Linked DNA regions of Saccharomyces cerevisiae S288C. The gene in region 2 interacts genetically with the main gene of each other region. Each region holds a gene or a part of one and is shown on either strand. Other genes may lie near its edges.

Region 1 (3,058 bases), on a different chromosome or scaffold from region 2:
GTCTGGCATGCCTATATCTAGAATCAAATAGCTTGAATAAGTCCAAAGAGCAAGAAGATCCCCATGCCATCGCAGAAGACGACATTGTAAATATAGTCCATGACGCTCCCAATAGAATATTCAAGCCAGCACTTGATACCTATCAAGAGAAAGAGCTTGACTTACAAAAGAGTGACCTCCATAAAGTACTTCATTCTTTGACGTACAGTGATGTCTCTCAATTTTCGATTGTTTGGGGGTTTCTCATTCAACTTTCGAGCCTAATAGGCAATTCCACCTTAGGCAAAAAATCCATTCTTTATAAGGGAAGTGTCGTTAGTGTTTTAGGGTTCCCACCGTTGATTTATATGGCACTTAAACTTAGGATGAAACAGCTGGAAAAAGCTGGAGTGCGCTTTGAGTAATGCAGAAGGCAACATCTCCGAAAATAAAAACGATGAAGTAAATGAAAACTCGTTTGTGAATACGTAAAATTATAACGCGCCCCATACATAGTAAGACAGACTTACTTTTATACTATTATTTTAGTTATATTTTTGAAGTACAATCAAGACCTGCAAGATTATAATGTTGGTGATTCAACAATCGACGAGACCAACTGTTTGTAAATGAACGGGATTGCACTGGCCCCCGATAGACTGATCGTAAAGGTTATAGAAAGTGCCCGACAGACATTGGTAAAACACGTCATTATCACCAATAGCTAAAGTGCCATGCTTCGTTATCGACCAGCCGCCAGCGTAAATAGCGCCCGCCTGTGGAGGTGGACCATCAAATTGGAACTGTCTGTTTGCTACTATCGATCCAATTCTACCACTGGAGTCAATAAGAACACCTCCTTGTAACGTTATTGCCAAGGTGCCAGAACTTTTACAGGCTTGCACCTTGATCACTTTTTCATTATTTGGTTTCTTTGTTGGCTCTAACTTACTCTTGGAAAGCACAGAACTACTACTGGCTGAAGAAATAGTAACTTGCACTTGACCATCATGAATCTGAGAAACAGCAGTTGCGGTTGAAGTTGCTGTCGCAGTTACAGTTTTACTTGGAACAGCAATTGTGGACTTTGTGACAACATTTTTAGCTGTAGTTATTTGTAATTGACCATCGCCTATTTGTGACACAATATGTGACACTACTGGAGGCACCTTCTGCGTTGTAACTTGTATTTGGCCGTCTCCAATTTGCGAAACTGGATGAGGTAATTTTTGTGTCGTTACTTGCACTTGACCGTCATTAATTTGTGAAATGACGTTTCTTTTGACCTTACTTTCAGTAACGGTGAAAGGTATAACAGCGAGACCGAATGAGGTCCGGTACTCTGTTGTGCCACCATCCATTTTAGAGCTTGGAGTTAAAGTTGCCCAGGGTTCAGGTGGAGCGTACGCAGTTAGCGCAATACTACTTAATAGAGATGCTAGAAATGCTTTCTTGTAATGCATATTGGGGCGGTGTTCACTTCTTCAGTAAGTTGTATAGAATTAAAAAATCGAGACTAAACAGAAATTTCGAAACAAGAAGATAAGTATATGTATACAAGTTATTTTACTCTTTTAACTGTTTTCGTTTCCCCACTCTTTCGCAAAAAGAATAATTTTGTGAGTCAAAACAGTCGAATTTTCTTGCACAAAAAGTCGATATTCTTTTGTGACTCTGTGTAACTTACTTTCTACAGCTTTTGTTACTCCACTTCTCTTATATATACCCAATGATTCACTCGTAATATATCAGAGGAACGTTAGAATTTCTGTATTTTCTCAGGAATCCTACAAAATTAGAGGTGAAATTGATCAGGTTAAGGAGCAGAAGCCCACTATATAAGTAAGATGATATCAAGCCTAGTTGGATGCCTTCAGGAACGGCAAATAGGATATGTGAGCTTGGCAAAGGGGTTTTGATAGAGTAACAATAGATCCTTGCTAGCCAATGCGACGTTCCTCTGTAGTTTTTACCACAGTTTTACTTAATTTCGTGCTTTGTCCCTTTTTGGCAAAAAAGTCGGATAATGTCTTCACTATATTTGTGTTTTCGTCTTTTAGGAAAAGCGTACTTTAGTAAACTACAAATTTGAGCTGAGCTAATTTCGGATTAGTAAAAGATGCAAGGAACAGTAAAAATTAAAATAGCGATTGACCGAAATCAGTCCAAAAATTACTACAACAAGCAAATCCAATTAAAAACAGTAAAATACTTTAAGTGCATTTACCGTTACGAACAACATATGTCCTAGTTAGTATAGTAGTCTACTAAGTAGCAAAAAAGTAGAAACTCTGTCACTATACCAGCCATCAGTTCATAGTAAAACAGTAAAAATTGTAAAAACAAGCAAAAAAAAAACAAGAAGGAACAAATGCACCAAACTGTTGATCTATTCTGCAAAAAAAAGTATGGTAAATTTTTTCCATTATCCTGGCCGCTAATCCATATGGAGGTGAACTTAGAACTTGCACAAGGATGCGATGAATGATAGGCTTTGTGCTATAATTAATGCAGGCAGGTCCGCCATGTCCAACACGTTGCTGGCCGCAAAACGAGTCAATCTCACTGCTTTGCCACGCTCATTTCTCCCCCCTTCTGCCCAATTAGGCGACCCTCACAATGCACATACACATTTCCCACCTCTATTGGAAGGGGCCGTAAATGGTAATTCTTGGGAGTTATTCATATTAAGTGATCTTACTATTTCCTATTTCGGAAATTATTAAAGACAAAAAAGCTCATTAATGGCTTTCCGTCTGTAGTGATAAGTCGCCAACTCAGCCTAATTTTTCATTTCTTTACCAGATCAGGAAAACTAATAGTACAAATGAGTGTTTTCTCAAGCGGAACACCACATTTTGAGCTAAATTTAGATTTTGGTCAAAATAAGAAAGATCCTAAAAAAGGAATGGTTGGTGAAAAATTTATTAGCTTGAATGGTAGGAATCCTCGAGATATAAAAGGAACACTTGAAGTCTAACGACAATCAATTTCGATTATGTCCTTCCTTTTACCTCAAAGCTCAAAAAAATATCAATAAGAAACTCATATTCCTTTTCTAACCCTAGTACAATAATAA
Region 2 (2,977 bases):
TGCACCTTGCAGCAGCCCACCAAGACCATGCTCATTTGCGCCATCAGTACGATTGTCCATAGCAGCAAGCATACCAGCACCAGACAACATGGCACGGTAACCACCACCAGAACAGGCGACGGCAATCTTAGGCATATTGGAAGAGTTGCTACCAAAAAGAGTGGATAGCAAGGAAGTGTCACTGAAATTCGAAGTGGCCCTATTCAAAAAAGAATGCAAAGCCTCCTTGGTGTATGCATCTCTTTTTTTCAGCCATTCTGTTTCGTTATCTGACAAACCAGATGCTTCTCTGACTAAGTTAATATCATCATCACAGGTTACGTTCGCAGGGACGTAACTGTTATTTGGTGACCAAGCGTTAACGTTCTCTGTTAGAGAAGTCAAAACTGCAGCAGAAACCAACAAACTCTGCAACTTCATGGTTTTGTTTTATTTTCTTTCCCGTTTGCCCTTAGGATGGATAGCTTCGTGTAATTTACGTTATATGAACGAAAAAAGAGAGAAATGTTAAGAAAAGAACGAAGAATTGATTAGTTAGTATAACCTAATAAATGTAGAACCTTACAGCGAAGAGACGTTTCCGTTGGTTAAATGTGGTGGAAGCGTCTTTATATATTAGATGATGTAGTTTACCTAAGCAGTTAGAAGAAAATAAAGTAACCAAGTCATCTTCTAAGCAAAAATAGGAGACGTAAATGAATGTTGCTTAACTGAGAAAAATATGCGGGAATAAGCGGACATGTTACTGTATGAGGTTATTTCCCTTTATAGATAAGGGCGTAAACCGCATATAATGAGGAAAGGCGAAGTTAGAAACGGACTTTTTAGGTCGCTTTGAAGAAGTCCGTGCAGGAAACCCATGCGTCCACTTATTTTAGCACTATGTGGCATGAGAAAGCTTTGGAAGGAATAAACGTTAGGACCCCACTGCGCCGCTTTTACGCAGGGCAATTTCGGGGACAAAGGGGGCTGAAGGAATACAATTCCGATCCAAGGCAACAAGTAGGTCAGAACCCTTTATTAACCTGCGCTTGTTAGTGGCTTCCTTTGTACTCTGTCCGTAATCCAGCATAGCGCTGAATTGCTGAAAGATATGGGTAGCGGTCAGATGAGAAGGGCAATCGTCAGGACTTCTGTTGAAAAGCGGACTAAACATAGGCATTATCATTCTTAGAGTTTTACGAGCAAATAGAATCGAGTGACTTCCGTCGTTGCTAACAGGCGCAGTAATAATAACCGCGGACGAAAGCCACGCAGGCAAAGAATGCTTTCGCTGAAATATCGGAGTCTTGCTATTGTTCAGGGCTTTGCCGGTGCGTAAATAATAGGCTGAAGCGAATTTGATTTCCCGCACAAAAAATTTTTGCTCGAGTAAGTCATACATATATCTTGCATGCGTAAAAAAAATTGCAATTGCTGAAGATTGAACGACCGCCCACCGGTATTTTCATCTCTTCTAGATCAAGACTAACTGCTCGTTCAGTACAAGTATTTTACGATAGTCCATATTACTCTTCAATTAATATTTTTTTTTTATATTCTGGCCCGTTTTTGACACAATTTTTTCCTTCTCTTTTTCTCCCTATAAACTATGCAGAAGTAGCGATAATCACGATCTTGTTAATGATTCACATGTGCGCAAGTCGTATTGTCTGTCTAGATAGTGAGATGCCTTCTAAATAACAGGAGAGAGGCAAGATAGCATAACGGCGCAATGAAGGTAATTTCTGCCAGTTTTCTTTGCATTGACGACTGAAAGGGCCCTTGTAAGAGCCGCTCGACAGGGCGACGCCACAGTAGAGTCGCTAACACCGAAATATGCATATTGAAAAACATCAAAGTATAAAAGAACAAAGAGGGTGGCATCTGCAGATCAAAAAAAACAATAACCACCAAACAAGACACTAAAAAAGGTCGTAAAAAGGTCAAAAGTTAGAATGGTTAAGGTATATATTCATGACAACAAGGTTGACTCCGATTATCGCGCACCCCACAATTCTGGAACAGAACTTTCCCTGGATGAATTAGCCAAGTTAGGAGTGATTTATAAATACTGTGCAAATGAGGAAGAAGTGAATGAAATTGCTAGGCAAAGAGAATATAAAAATAGAGATGTGGTCAACATCTGCGAAGGTTCCTTCAAAAGTGAAGCAGAGTTTAATGAAAAACTAGCAACATTCTACCAAGAGCATTTACATGAAGACGAAGAAATAAGATACTGTCTCGAGGGTGCTGGATACTTTGACGTCAGGGATGCTTCCACACCAGAGAACTGGATTAGGTGTTTGGTAGAGTCAGGTGATTTACTGATTCTTCCACCAGGCATCTATCATCGTTTCACCTTGACAACTAGCAACCACATCAAGGCCTTGAGACTGTTTAAGGACGAGCCCAAATGGCAAGCTATCAACAGGTCAAATCAGGCTGATTCATTGCCTGTACGCAAGGACTACATTGCCCTGATCAATCAGTACTAAATACTGCATCATAATACATTATTCTTAATGTCTTACTTCTTTATATCTTTAAAGTAGCGTAGGGTGACTTCCCCGTCAAGAATGATTTTTAGTCTGTGAAATAGGAAAAGAAAAAAACACCAAAAGTGGAAAAAGAAACACCGGAAGTTTGAACGATTTTCGTATTATTTTTATATTTAGATGTTGGTCAAGTATTCATCTTTTCCTCCATTTATTTGCATACTTCTTCCATGGAGAATAGTGAAAAGTATAGGCCATAGTCGTAATATCAAAAAGCAAAGCCTTATCACTATTTATAAACATCAACAATCCTGAAAGCCAAAAACGATACGACATTTGATATTTTGATTTGGTTTCAGCGCCCTATTTTTTTTATAAAAACTATACGCATACTGTTGCATTCCTTTCTTTATAAAATTCAATAAAAAATTAATACTTTCCACAGATAAAGCTAGAGAATGTCAACAACAGGTCCGTTAGATGCTACTTTAATAAGGGAC
Region 3 (3,626 bases), on a different chromosome or scaffold from region 2:
GAGAACCTGCTCCAGATGTGAAGTAAGCAGAAGCAGCACTTGGCATAGCAGGCAAAGTGTTATTAGCTTCCCAGACACCCTTTTCATAATCAGGACATGTAGAATAGTTGTTGGAAGTACTGTAACCACCATTGCCTTCTGGGTTGGATACTTTGCTGTATTCATTTTTCAAGTTTTCAAAATCTGTCAATTTAGTGACCTTGTCACCATCAATTTGAACGAGCCCGTAATTGTTAGTTTCATTGGAATATTCGTAGACTAGCCCACCGGAGAATACAGAAGACATTTGAGTGGAATAGATAGCTTCAATTTCTGTGAATGGACGAGAGCTCTTGACTTGGTTACAACCAAATTCACTTAAGAAGACAGGAACGGAGTAATCTTGATATAGCTTCATCTTGGTGGAATAACCCGATACCACAAATGAAGATTCACCACACCAAGAATAGTCATTAACACCAAACATGTCGATTCTAGCGTCAGCTTCATCACCACAGTTAAAGTATTCAGCAGCCAATTGTCTGTTAGCGACGATATCAGCAGCCGAGTAACCTACCGGAATTTGTCTGTATTTTCTAGCCTTGATGTATTTCTTCATGTCCCTGACCACTGCCTTGACATAAGTAGCAGTGTTGGTAGTATTAACACTATTGATGACCTCGTTACCAGCGAAAAAACCTAGAACATTGTCGTAATCAGCAAAGGTATCAATGGTGGCAAAGACATTTTGTAAGTAGTCAGCGTTATAGGAGCAGGCTGGATCGTAACGAGAAATAGCACTCGTGGGGGTATTGACATCCAGGATCAAGTATATACCGTTCTCCTGCAATAGTTTCATACAATGGGAATGATCTTGCGAGTTATCCACAGTATAAACTCTGACAGTATTTATCCCTAGATCTTTCAGAACGGGGACGTCTCTGTCACAGACAGATGCGTCTGCTAAGGGATCAGTCAAGTTAGAAGAACCACCAGGCTGGTAATCAACACCACGGATATAAAACCTTTCACCTGATTCCGAATTAAAAAATGCATTGCCTTTAATTTCAATGGATGGTGTGGAACTGTTACTGCTGCTAGCAGCCTGAGCCAAACCAGCACTTAAAACGAAGGCACTTGTAAGAGAACGTAGTAACATAGCTATTTAGAGCTGTGTGTGTAGCGAGTGATATATAATATGTTTGTTACAGCCCACTGTTTACTTTTATATACGAAATGCAACACTGTCAACAAATCAGTTCAGGGACCTTCCTATTTATAGTATAAGCAAAATAAAAGTGAAAAATTTCCTGCGGAGTTTTTTTTCTCGAGAAATTGTGAACAAAAGAAAGCAAAGACACAGAAGATGATAAGAGAGAGAAACAACGAAGAAAGAACAACAATGTTGGGGTTCACCCGAGAGATATTGACATACTGACCTTAGAAAAGGCATTACTGAGGCTACTGACTAAAGCGCGTTACATAAATGCATAGTATATTTCTTGTTGTATACGCAGCGGCCAACTAGTGGCAGCAAGAATGTAATGAACGATTCATCTGCAGGTTTGGAGGCCGCAACTAGATCAAAACGTAAATAGCGGGTGAAGTGTTCTGGACGTTAGAAGTAACGTCCGCAGATCGAAGCTAAACACGAGATTAGATTTCGGGTAACGGAATTGTGATAATTAAGAAAGACCAGACTATGTGAAAAGGCCACGTAAATGATAGAGCACACATTAGCAACTATAATAGACTAGTTTTCGCATCGCTGGAAGTTCTCGATATTGAATATCACTTCCAAGAACGCAAACTTAGAATGGTCCGGATTCTTCCCATAATTTTGAGCGCCCTATCTTCGAAATTAGTGGCGAGTACAATATTGCATTCATCCATACACTCAGTGCCATCTGGAGGCGAAATCATATCTGCAGAAGATCTTAAAGAACTTGAAATTTCAGGGAATTCGATCTGCGTTGATAATCGTTGCTATCCTAAGATATTTGAACCAAGACACGATTGGCAGCCCATACTGCCAGGTCAAGAACTCCCCGGTGGTTTGGACATTAGAATAAACATGGACACAGGTTTAAAAGAGGCAAAACTAAATGATGAGAAGAATGTCGGTGATAATGGTAGCCATGAGTTAATTGTATCTTCAGAAGACATGAAAGCATCGCCTGGTGACTATGAATTTTCCAGTGATTTCAAAGAAATGAGAAACATCATAGATTCTAACCCGACTTTATCTTCACAGGACATTGCCAGATTGGAGGATAGTTTTGATAGAATAATGGAATTTGCGCATGATTACAAGCACGGCTACAAAATTATTACCCATGAATTCGCCCTCTTGGCCAACCTTAGTCTCAATGAAAATTTGCCGTTAACATTGAGAGAGCTCAGTACTAGAGTCATTACCAGCTGCTTGAGAAACAATCCTCCTGTAGTCGAGTTCATTAATGAAAGTTTTCCAAATTTTAAAAGCAAAATCATGGCCGCTCTGTCAAATTTGAATGATTCTAACCACAGATCCTCTAATATCCTAATAAAAAGATACTTGTCCATTTTAAACGAATTACCTGTCACATCCGAAGATCTTCCTATATACTCTACGGTTGTTTTACAAAATGTATATGAAAGAAACAACAAGGACAAACAGTTACAAATAAAAGTCCTGGAGTTGATCAGCAAAATTTTGAAGGCCGACATGTACGAAAATGACGATACAAATCTAATTTTGTTCAAAAGAAATGCTGAGAATTGGTCGTCAAATCTGCAAGAGTGGGCAAACGAGTTCCAAGAGATGGTCCAGAACAAAAGTATAGATGAACTACATACAAGAACGTTTTTTGACACCCTTTACAACTTGAAGAAAATTTTCAAAAGTGACATCACGATCAACAAAGGGTTTTTGAATTGGTTAGCGCAACAATGTAAAGCCAGGCAATCTAACTTGGACAATGGGCTCCAAGAGAGAGATACTGAACAAGACTCATTTGATAAGAAACTTATCGACAGCAGACACTTGATCTTTGGCAACCCCATGGCTCATAGAATAAAAAATTTCAGAGATGAACTCTGATTTCACTGTCATTGCATATATAGTTTAATATTAATAATATTTTTTTCAATTAATATTTCGTGAATCTTATTAGAGATATATTATATATCCGTGTCTAATTTTTAGTTACTTCATCCAAAAACGTCCCGTCGTTGGCCAGTCTATTTCTAAATTTGTCCCACCATGTATCAAACCTCTTGATGGGCACGTTTCCCTGAGCATCTAGGAACCCTGATAAATAGTTATATGCATGCTGAACGATTTTGGCGGCCAATTCTTGTGTCAATGAAGGGTAAACTTGTGCCAACTGCCCTGCCGTGGTAATATTTCGAATTATTCCTAAGTTAGGTCTTGACAAGATCAATGAGTTGTTCTTTTGTGCTTCGGCATTCATGCTGGCCTTCCACTCTTCTAATTTCATCATTCCTTGTTCTCGAGGCTCAATGGAAATACCAATAATCAATTCTGATATGTTATTACTGCTACTTCCATTGGTGTCAGTAAACGGATCAGCGGCCCCCGAACCATCATCTACATCCATGTCTATCTCACCTAATCCATCACTTGTATCTCCAGCGTCTTTCTT
Region 4 (2,572 bases), on a different chromosome or scaffold from region 2:
AATATAGGTGCTGATTTTATTCCCTACTTGAATGACATCATGGCGTTGTGTGTTGCTGCCCAAAACACGAAGCCGGAAAACGGCACATTAGAAGCCCTTGATTATCAAATAAAAGTACTAGAAGCAGTACTAGATGCTTATGTGGGTATAGTAGCGGGTCTTCATGATAAACCTGAAGCTCTGTTCCCTTATGTTGGTACTATATTCCAGTTCATTGCACAAGTTGCAGAAGATCCTCAGCTGTACAGTGAGGATGCTACCTCAAGAGCAGCAGTCGGATTGATTGGTGATATAGCAGCGATGTTTCCAGACGGCTCAATCAAACAATTTTATGGACAAGACTGGGTTATTGATTACATTAAAAGAACTAGGAGTGGCCAATTGTTCAGTCAAGCCACAAAAGATACAGCAAGATGGGCTAGAGAGCAACAGAAGCGTCAATTATCCTTATAATTACGATAGAACTTACAAGCTGATTTTGGTTCTTTTCCATCTTTGTTTCTTAACATCTGCTGCAGTTACCAACGCATTTACAAACCACGGTTTACAAAGGGCATTTCTCTTTGATCATAATTAATTTGTTATTTTACCTTTATGATTTTGTTACCTTCTCCGTCATAGGAGAGAAAACAAAATACCTGCATTCTTCTAATTCCAGTCGCACTTTTTAGAATTTCCCTCTTTTTATTAAAGTACATCTTAATTTTTTTTTTTCTTTCTTCCTTTTCTACTATCTTCTCTTTTATTATTATATTATATTATCAATAACCCTCATCTCTCTCTCTCTCTCTCTCTCTCTCTCTCTCTCTCTCTCTCTCTCTCTCTCTCTCTCTCTCTCCTTTTTTTCTTCTTTTAGATTTTTTTGCTTTTGTTTAATTTCATTCCAGTTTCCCCCCCCCAATATTAATATTCGTTCCTAGAGCCTATCACACCTAATATTTCCCGTATACATTATAGTAAATACCTCAAGACACTTATGATAGATTTTTTTCCTTAACTCAAACCTAATTAGCTCTATGCATAAAGAAAGTTTTGAATAAGGAAATCCGCATATTCAAATTATCAAACATGCACTTCATCTGCAAAACTTCCAAAAACTTTCTGCTCGTTAATAGTCAATGTATGGTAATGCGAATGAGCAGGTACCCCTTATTATAATGATTAATACTTACATCATAGTTAATAATCTTATCTCAGGGTACCCATAATTTCAACCATCCTTAGCTTCCATTAAAAACACAATGAGTTGCGTTACTAGCGAAGCGGCTTATCTGTTAATTCTTGCTTGCAAACATCTTAGCTGAAAGTGAAAAGGCACAGCCGCACCTGCTGAATGCTCAACGTTTGTAATAATCCGCCTATTTCCGCGGAATCAATAGGGCTCCTAGCAGGCCGCCATCAATTTTCAGCGTGCCGCATTAAAATTATATTACCAAGATTTCCATTTCCGCGGCTGATTCCTATCAATATTAAGTAATCAATCTTTTCCTCGTGATTCTTTGTGATGCTCATTCACAGAGGACTAATTAAGACATGTAGCACAATATATTCATATAAAAGTTGGTGCAGTTAATGATTAATTGCATTGTTTTCCTTGTTTCTTTCTGTTATACCTGTCGAATTAAACATAAAGTGTATATGAATTTTAAGGGGCACAAATAACAAAGGATTATTTATCACCTTTAATAATGCAATCGATCAGTAATTGTCCCATCGGGTTAGTTTCAAAAAACACAATCAATTCAGCTTCCACTATTGCAGAGTGGGTAGCATGTCCATGGAAATATATCAACGTTGTTGGTTCAGGCAGATATGTGAGCAATAAACCTGATAAAATTACCAGATATGATTTACTCAAGGCTGCCCAGGAAGCGGAAATGCAGGAGTTGCTTACAAGAAATGATATGAAAGGTAGACATAAACGTAATAAGAAAAGTAAGATAGCATTGGAGACTATAGCGGAAGAAAACTCTTCAACTGAAAGCCTTTTTTAAAGTTTGTGTCACAATCATGTTAAGCTATCGTCCCCTCATATCATTTTAGCCTCCAGGTAAAACCTAAATATTGTATAAAAGAGAATGGTAGGCGAGCATATTATAGAAAAATATCTCTAAATAATTTACAATTTAATATTCGTTGCTAATGGTAATTTTTTTTCAATTGTTCTTAATCCTTTCTTAAACATAAAAATAACTATTTTGAATATAGATAATACACATCAACGATGCAACTCCAGTATATTAGCTAGTTAAAGGAATGTTCAGTAACTCTACAGTATTACAGAAAGGGCTGAATGAAATTTCAACTAATTTGTCTCTTGTGAAATTTAGATTTGGTAACTCTACGCAGGTGCAAGCCATTAAATAGCCATATAATACTCTTAATGTTGACTCATGTGCAATGATGAGAATGTCCTTGCTCGTATGCTCCATTTCTAATAGTAAAGGTTCCATACGAACGGCTAAGTCATGGTAAGATTCCGCCCTAGGGAATCGAAAATGATATGGGTCTTTTAATGATTCTTTATATTCTGATGGAAATTTGTCCATTATCTGTTGATCAGTAAGATCAG

The links.
Region 1: mutations in ADI1 (region 2) and PIR5 together harm fitness more than expected from each alone (negative genetic interaction), as found in Saccharomyces cerevisiae (2 studies listed by BioGRID).
Region 3: mutations in ADI1 (region 2) and SIL1 together harm fitness more than expected from each alone (negative genetic interaction), as found in Saccharomyces cerevisiae (2 studies listed by BioGRID).
Region 4: mutations in ADI1 (region 2) and CIS1 together harm fitness more than expected from each alone (negative genetic interaction), as found in Saccharomyces cerevisiae (2 studies listed by BioGRID).

Annotation. Positions count from the first base shown.
Region 1 is NC_001142.9:117,384-120,441, forward strand, and holds PIR5 (beta-1,3-glucan linked protein), read right to left. Parts: upstream 1,443-3,058; coding exon 579-1,442; downstream 1-578. Other genes in the region: FMP33 (Fmp33p), read left to right, coding at 1-404.
Region 2 is NC_001145.3:282,165-285,141, forward strand, and holds ADI1 (acireductone dioxygenase (Ni2+-requiring)), read left to right. Parts: upstream 1-1,937; coding exon 1,938-2,477; downstream 2,478-2,977. Other genes in the region: PLB1 (lysophospholipase), read right to left, coding at 1-420; YMR008C-A (uncharacterized protein), read right to left, coding at 917-1,384; ANY1 (Any1p), read left to right, coding at 2,936-2,977. UniProt on the Saccharomyces cerevisiae protein: Catalyzes 2 different reactions between oxygen and the acireductone 1,2-dihydroxy-3-keto-5-methylthiopentene (DHK-MTPene) depending upon the metal bound in the active site.
Region 3 is NC_001147.6:265,699-269,324, reverse strand, and holds SIL1 (Sil1p), read left to right. Parts: upstream 1-1,795; coding exon 1,796-3,061; downstream 3,062-3,626. Other genes in the region: GAS5 (1,3-beta-glucanosyltransferase), read right to left, coding at 1-1,138; OPI10 (Opi10p), read right to left, coding at 3,156-3,626. UniProt on the Saccharomyces cerevisiae protein: Required for protein translocation and folding in the endoplasmic reticulum (ER). Functions as a nucleotide exchange factor for the ER lumenal chaperone KAR2.
Region 4 is NC_001144.5:821,709-824,280, reverse strand, and holds CIS1 (Cis1p), read left to right. Parts: upstream 1-1,688; coding exon 1,689-1,994; downstream 1,995-2,572. Other genes in the region: KAP95 (karyopherin beta), read left to right, coding at 1-453; YLR345W (bifunctional fructose-2,6-bisphosphate 2-phosphatase/6-phosphofructo-2-kinase), read right to left, coding at 2,241-2,572. UniProt on the Saccharomyces cerevisiae protein: Mitochondrial protein that is involved in citrinin resistance.